Linked DNA regions of Bombyx mori. The protein of the gene in region 2 purifies or fractionates together with the protein of the main gene of each other region. This does not show direct contact. Links are inferred from orthologs where the notes say so. Each region holds a gene or a part of one and is shown on either strand. Other genes may lie near its edges. The genes, in order: transcription initiation factor TFIID subunit 6 and Taf1.

Region 1 (4,512 bases), on a different chromosome or scaffold from region 2:
GGCATGCACCGCCTTATTTTTATTAAGCAGTATCGTTTTATTCGTCGTTTAAGCGACATTTCGTTTAATACGCGACACATTTAATTTTATCTTTGTAATTCGGTGTATTCGTGACATTTATCTTTGTAATTCGGTGTATTGTTGTAATCTTGTATTATGTTCGGTTTTAATGAACTTCAATTAATTAGCTTTACTCCATTCAAATAGCTCAAGAAGTTTTTTTTATGATATTTTTTCCAAATTTTAAGCTTTAAATGGTTCTCCTCTGTAATGTTGCAAAAATGCTGCTTAAACCAAATTGCCTTTCACCCTTTGATATACATTCTTCTCGTTGACTAAACATAATGAAGATATACATTCTACTTTTATATTCATTAATTGAAGTAAAGACACTGCAATAAAAAGTGGAAAATCCCAACATGGATGTCATTCACATTGTGGAATATACAAACTTGCATGATCAAAGTGAATAAATAATGTAAGTACACATTTATTGAATTTGAAATTTAATGATTTTTATCTTGAGACTCAATTCACAGTTTCAACATTTGATAATGTGACGAAGGTTCTCCATAATTTTGTTATTAATAGGAATAACTACTCACATATTTTTCCAAATATAGTGACTGGTTATCAAGTAGTGCCTTAACCATTCGCATCAGGTAAATGAGAAGAGCCAGATTGTTTTGTACGACATTAACCTTCACACCTTCAGATATAAAAGTACACATTCTGGGCAACATCTCGTGTAGTCCTGGGTCACAAGCTAAGGACTGGAGCGCTTCCTGCAAGATGAAGAAATTTGTAAAGCAGAATACAAAATTATTTTTTTTCAATTATTTCAGATCTTTCACAAATAGAATAACATACATATAGGATATCTAAACCTATTAGAAAATTCTATACTTTGTAAAAAGTATGGTTGGTGATCTTTGCCACCAGTTATATATTTAGTGAGTTAGGTCTTGTTTAGACTACACTTGAACAGCAATGGAAATTTAAATATAGACATCTTTTGCTTAGATGTGTGGACGAGCTCACGCCCACCTGGTGTTAAGTGGTTACTGGAGCCCATAGACATTTACCAGAAATTGTTTTCATATAGTAAAAAATTTCTGCCGTGAAGCAGTAATGCGTTTCGGTTTGAAGGGTGGGGCAGCCGTTGTGACTATACTGAGACCTTAGAACTATATCTCAAGGTGTGTGGCGCATTTACGTTGTGGATGTCTATGGGCTCCAGTAACCACTTAACACCAGGTGGGCTGTGAGCTCGTCTACCCATCTAAGCAATATGGATATGGTTTTCCATAATAATATTGTGAAATAGTTTCTTTCAATATATCTACTATAAATATAATTATGTAATGTATTTAATGAGAAGATATGCAACTTTTTAAGATTCAATATTAAATGGAAGAAAAAATTATATGGTGTTCATTGTTTTTTTTTTTTTCTTTCTATCAGGGTAGTTACTTACAGCACGTCTTGTTTCATCACTGCCAACACAGGCTTCTGTGATTTCTTTATAATAGAGCTGCTGTTCAACACTCAATTCATGGGTAGCAAGCTGTTTAACATGCACAGATTCTGATGCTTTCAATCTTGCTGCTTTGCCACATATAGGTTTACCTGTAATATTTATATTTATAAAAAAATATTATCTTTCACACCCGCATAGAATCGCTTTTTTTTTAAATTGTAGCAGTGGTAAAAAAATGAGGTTATGATTCCAATGTTTATTCCTATACATATATTTGTGTCAAAATATCATTTGCAATAATCTCTTGAAAATACTAAATAACTTGTTACTTGTGTACTTTAATTCAGATAATTCAATCAGAATCCATATTAAGCCCTACCAATTATATTCTTCCAGTTTTGTATCTTTTCTACCATAAGTAAAATTAATTAAACCCTGTGATATTCCTATCAAAACAACTGTTATAGTTATCTAACCTGCAGAATCTTTATTGCTTGGTTTACTCAGTTTACTTATTGGATCAACAGATTCAAGTTTCTGAGCTTCTTTTGAAAGCGGTGGTGGATTTTCAGGTACTGTTGGTTGAACCCCATCCACACTTAGCCAATGTGCACGAACAGATACATCCAATGGAACCTTTGGGGGTGGTGCTGATAGGATCTCCGAAAGATCTATCTCTTTTTCTTCAATGAAATGGAGTTCTCTACCTCCTCCAGATGCGAACCTAAATGGCAGCGAATCAGGCTGAATAAATCCATATTGACACTAAAATGAATGAAATAATATAATGAATTAAAAAAAAATATTGTTAATTTATCATAGGAGACCATGGAACACTTAAAGCCATATTTAAATATTGCTTTAACTGCAGATATTAAAATACCTCATTGTTTTTTATCTTCAGGGCATGATCTATATCTGTAATGGAAAGTTTTTGTCTCTTTGAGTGATGCATGAACTTCATGGCATCTTGAACAATCACTTTCAAGCGATATGTAACATCATCAGCGAGTTCCTTAGCAGCGTCATCGCCAAGAGTGGCGATACCAACACTCTCTGCTATCACTTTCATGGAATCCAACGTTAACGAAGATCCATAAGCCAATTCTGAGTCGCCCATGATAGAAATTAAATCTATAAAAAAATAAGGTTGTGGTTTATGAAAGTTGTTAAAGTTCTCAATTCAATCAAAGGGAGCATATGAATACCTTTAAGATACGTTGACTACAGCATTAAACAATGATTTATCACCAAATTGGTTACGATTACGATAGACCCCTTGTATCACTGTATTCTTTGGGTTAATCTTTAATTTTTTATTCCTGCTTTTTTCTGATATTTTCCTGTTGTGATAAGGTAAAGTTAATTAATGTAGATAAGTAGGTAGGTATGTACCTGTGTACCCTAATTTATTTACTATTTGGATACAAGTAGACATTCTACCATAGATTTTTTTGGTACAACATATTCTTCTTCTTAGTTTTTGGATCCGGCACGTTTGTGCATTAGCCAGCGTCAAGTAATAAGATTTTTAGGAATCGCCGTTTTAAGTAGGTATTTACAGTTTACGAATAATAAAAAACGAAGGAAACTTAATCAATTGGCATGAAATGCTGCTTATGCTGCCCATGCTCTATTATTTGTCTTGAGTGTGAAAAAACTGGATGAAGCTATTTTATGCCAATACTATGGACATGTCACACCCAAAATTAAAACTACGGTCTCATGCCATAAGATGGGTGTAGATTATAATGTCTATGGGATCAAGTTGAGTGCATGAGCTAAGGATTGCGTAATTTATGATTTTTTTATTAAGCCAAGTAAATTTTATGACAACAAATAGAAACCATATTTTTTTACATTTTTAAGCATTGCTTTATAAAATTGTTCAGTAATGCATGCCACAGAAAAGTATTCCAGAAAATGAACAGTTATGAAACAAACATTTTTAAATTTGTGGTACATTTTGAGCTCATTTTTAGATCTAGCAATTTTTTGCTCTATAACTGACGACATATTGACTTTTGACGGCATTCCAATTTCTATTCGTTATTATTCATTTTGCCAACCATTTCAAAGAGAATAAAGGTAATCAATATAACCAACCATAGCTTCGCGTTCGATTACGGGCATTTGCAGCCTCATGCGCTTCAAGTTGTAATATTATTTTCAAAAGGTCTAGTTTTGTAAATAAGTGACTACTATCGGTTAGACGGAAAAATCGTTAAAATGTATAGAAATAAAAAAGACGTTGATAAGCACGTCGAAAATTTGCTGAACAAAATATCTTCGAGAGAGGTTGGTAGTTGGTGTTCAAATCAAGTATTACGCTTATTGACAAAGTTTTTACCATCGATATTTGGTTATTTTCAGTTTAAAAGTCGTGCTTATTCCATCGCTCGGTTGTATTTTGAAGTTGGCGATTTTGCGAATTGCCAAAAATATGTTGAGCAATATCTTACTCAAAAAGATAACAATGCAGCGGCTTATAAACTTCTCGGACAAGCTTTGCAGAAGATAGGACAAAAAGAAAAGGCTTTAGAACAATACAAAACTTCCCTGGACATTGACCCAGCCCAGACAAGCACTATTCTAGACAGTAAGTCTTACTAAAATAATATTTAATTTACAATTTATCATATAGCTACTTTACTAGGTTTGTTAATATTAAAACCAAAATCTTCTATTAAGCCATTTTTATGTGCAGTATTCTTATATATATTTATTTATATTTATGTGAAAATTATATTCTTAGTTATATTCTTTTTTTCTATCAGTAAGTGTGTTGGTGGTAGTACTATGATTAATTTATTTCCTTAGATGATTCTTGTCAGCTTGGAAGAGGTCATATTTAGTAATAAGACTGCATAAGCATAAGTACAATACATTGTTTGATTTTTTGTTTTTCTTTTGATTTTATATTGTTTTGCAATAAAGAATACTCTATTATTATCATGTATATAATAAACTACATAATATAATATTTTGTATGTTGTTAATAGGTATGTATTCATTTGTAGCTATTGTATAGT
Region 2 (3,836 bases):
TCTTTTGGTAGTGATTAGTGAATGGTCACGTCCTTATTAGGTGGTTACAGAAGCCTACGAACATATCGTCATCTCGTATTAAAACTGTATAATCTCAAAACTTACTAATTTTACAGGAGAGTGTTTTAAAACTTTAACATGTGATATTTTTAATATTAATCATCTTTGCAACATTTATTTTTTATTTTTTACCATTTACACTATCTGTCTTTTAAAGTAAGACAAAATGATGTATTAATTTTGTTAATTGTAGTCAAAATATAGGTAAACTAAAAAAAAACGAAAACTAAACAACACTCTTTTGACAGTATTTATGAGAAAAATACTGGTGATATCAAATGATTCCGCATATTAACTCAATTTTGAATATTTTTGGAAATTGTACACTTTTAATGCGAGAAGACGCATTAAAAGTGTACAATTTTACAATATTGTCGCTTTATCACATCAAAAGTGAAAATGCAATACACAAAATTAATCTAAATATTGAAGTGTTAGTGATTATTATTTTTTTATTGCTTAGAGGGGTGCACGAGCTCACAGCCCACTTGGTGTTAAGTGGTTACTGGAGTCCATAGACATCTACAACATAAATGCGCCACCCACCTTAAGATATAAGTTCTAAGGTCTCAGTATAGTTATAACGGCTGCCTCACCCTTCAAACTGAACGCATTACTGCTTCACGGCAGAAATAGGCGGGGTGGTGGTACCTACCCGCGCGGACTCACGAAGTCCTACCACCAGTAAAAATATGGTGTTTCCGACAAAGGTTTTCTCACTTCATCATCTATCTTCAGCTGCATTTCCTCGTCATCGTCCTCTTGCGGGGTAAACAGGAACTTTTCTCCGTAGCCAGCGTCTTTCAGTCTTTGTTCTGCGGCCGCCATACTGAAGTAGGCGCAGCACTGTTCGGGCGACACCATGGCTCGGATTTCTTCTTCGGAGGGTAGACGGAAATCCGGCTTTATCACCCACCTGTGTTATATTTCATCTTATTATTGGCTGATTATTTTATTGTTTTCATATTGGTTGAATGTGAAAATGTCAAAAATAAAGGTCAATAATGTGTAAATGAGACAAAGTAAATCCTTTATCATCGGGTTTTTTATTCGTACAAAATGATTTTATCCTAATGTCTACGTTTGATTATACTATTTTTAGATTCTACATACTTGAGCCATAAAAATCTTTTATAACTTGATATCATGTGTCCTGAATACAAAATACAATTCTAAGATGTTTTTAAAACCAAAATGAACATAATTTTCCAAGCGATTTAATAAAAATTAAATTAAATATAATGTCCATTTTCTCTATATTATTTATCTAACTGACATACCAATTCGAATCCAATCCGGTACGCTTAAAATCAGCGCATAGCTTCAATCTCTTTCTAATCGAACTTTCAGAATGCGACGGGAACGCCCTCTTTATATCATCCATTTTTATACGACGTGGCTTGTCACGAGATTTCCAAAATAGCCTGTATATGAACACCTGAAAAAAGTAATGTTTTCAGTACTATTCATATTTAACATTCACGCTATTATGACTTGAATATTGAGTTTCAACTTTCGATGAAAAACTCTTTTCGTTTAAAAAAAAACGAATTGGCGTTTTTAGATTTATCTATACTATTAGATTAGTGTTTGTTGATCGGTGGGGATCCCTTTTGGGGATTCCGAGCACCGGTTATCGATAAAGAGTTCGACGTGCAACTTAAACCCGGTGAGTTTCTCGCCGAATCCTCTTAGCAGAATGCAATTTCGATCCGGTAGTAGAGTCAGCGAAGCACTGCTCTTACTAGAGCAGATGTTAGCAAAGTTTCCCGTGATCTCGCCTACACACCCAGTAGTCAGAATTTCCCATCTAGGCTACTAGCAGTAGGTAGGCAAAATAAAAGTGTCGATCCGTCTCCAATATTTAGAACCATATTTACCTGCAAGAAATCTCTAACGAAATTGTTAGCTCTCTTTGAATTTGGTCCGGGGACTTCATACAGCGGACACTCTTGTCCGGCAACGTACACAGCGTCGATCTCACGTATATAATATGCTTGTCTGAAATTTTATAATTAGACTTCATATGCATATGTATGTATAGTAATGATCTCAGTAGATAGATAGTAATGATCTCTTCATATGTATGTATAGTAATTATCTCAGTTATAATTTAGTTTTAAAACATAAAATTAGCATTCCGATTCATAAAAAACTATCTGAGCTCATTAAGTATGTTATAAGAATAGCTTCAAAAAGTTTTACTCATTATACATATAAGGAACTAGCCATACTCGCCTGCTTCGCTGGGCATTTAAAATTAACATTACTAGAGGTCCCGCAGTAGTCGAAATTAGACTATAATTAATTGGAATTGTAAGTTTGTACACTATTATGATTCTATTTTATACTTTTATAATCACAAATTTCGCCAAGACTACATTATAAAAAATATTAACAAAGACAAACAATATTTAATCTATTCTCAATTTGACAACAGACGTCAAGAACAAAAGTTTGACAATAAATAGTATGCATGCGTGTGTGCGTCAAATACATGGTATGTAGTGTGTGTAATGTTTTCTTTATTGATTTAATGTATCATTTATGCATTATTTTAAAAAAATATTAGCATTGTGCACTTCTTCTCTATATTCTCTATAAGTGTGGAAAATTTCATACTCCTCCGTCCGCGCAATTTTCGTAAAAAGGGATACAAAGTTTTTGCTTCACGTATTAATATATAGATTATTTATTGTCATTATTATTAGGGAGTCCAAGACTCATATAAATATTAGCCTATCCATTAAGTACATGTATTTTCTACATGGATACCAAGTTTCAAGTCAATCGGATGCATAGTTCAATAATTATAACGGAACATCCGTAAAAACCACGGTAGATTTATATATTAGTATAGATAAAACTATGTGACAGTATTTTAATATCGGGCTGATACTGCTCAGATAACTCATTGTAAATAAGACCATTAGTGTTCAGTAAATTTATTAGTATTTTAAGCAGTAATTAATTACATTTTGTTGTTATTAGTACAAAAAAATTTTATGATTCGAGGAAATTTATTTTTCCAAATTGGTTTCTGAAATTTTTACAGAACTCTGCTCACAGAATGAGCGTATTATTATTATTATCACGTTGCTCATGGACATTAACAATGCCAACCATTGGGGACTTTTCATAAATCTCATTTGTAAAATATGTTGTATGAATCTCGTATAGCGGAATGCCCGGGATTACCTCCACCGGACCGTTGAGGGTCATTATAAAGTCATTATAGAGCAGACGACATTAGCCTACTGAGTTTCTCGCCGGATCTTCTCAGTGGATCGCGTTTCCGATTCGGTGGTAGATTATGCACGGCTCTTGCTAGAGTTCGTGTTAGCAACAATGTCAGATTTGAGCCCCGTGAGCTCGCCTACTCGCCCGGTTACGCTGAAATGGTCTCTCGCGACCATCAGCTTAGGTAGAAAAAAAGCTTAAATATACATCAGACAGTATTACGTACCTGGTACGTATAATGATGAAGTCAGTCTGCGGCAACGTGTGTTCGTATATAGGAGCTCTGTACATGTTGTTCTCGACGACCGGCTGCGTGGCTCCCGGCGCCAGGATCCCGAGGAACGGCGACGTGTGAGCGTACGCTACTTCACCGTACTTCAGTGGCTTGGGACCGTTGTCCTGTTCATCAATGAAATAATTAAGTTTGGCTGTACCGTAGTATGTAAGTCTATCTTATATTGTATTTATTTTTCACATGGTATATATATCGACGCTTGAAAGGCAAACGTGACTAAGCGACAATAACTGCTTTGTAC

What was found.
Region 1: the proteins of Taf1 (region 2) and transcription initiation factor TFIID subunit 6 purify together in Drosophila melanogaster (affinity purification with western blotting; 3 studies listed by BioGRID, with this or other methods). This does not show direct contact. The link is inferred for Bombyx mori from reciprocal best matches to the Drosophila melanogaster genes Taf1 and Taf6.

What each region holds. Positions count from the first base shown.
Region 1 is NC_085121.1:11,010,455-11,014,966, forward strand, and holds the start of transcription initiation factor TFIID subunit 6, read right to left. Parts: upstream 3,110-4,512; 5' UTR 2,689-3,109; intron 2,615-2,688; 5' UTR 2,601-2,614; coding exon 2,364-2,600; intron 2,246-2,363; coding exon 1,957-2,245; intron 1,630-1,956; coding exon 1,478-1,629; intron 786-1,477; coding exon 606-785; intron 1-605. Other genes in the region: E3 SUMO-protein ligase RanBP2, read left to right, coding at 3,710-3,778, 3,854-4,079. UniProt on the Drosophila melanogaster protein: TFIID is a multimeric protein complex that plays a central role in mediating promoter responses to various activators and repressors.
Region 2 is NC_085123.1:8,767,641-8,771,476, forward strand, and holds part of Taf1 (transcription initiation factor TFIID subunit 1), read right to left. Parts: intron 3,700-3,836; coding exon 3,527-3,699; intron 2,062-3,526; coding exon 1,941-2,061; intron 1,499-1,940; coding exon 1,341-1,498; intron 977-1,340; coding exon 781-976; intron 1-780. UniProt on the Drosophila melanogaster protein: TFIID is a multimeric protein complex that plays a central role in mediating promoter responses to various activators and repressors. Largest component and core scaffold of the complex.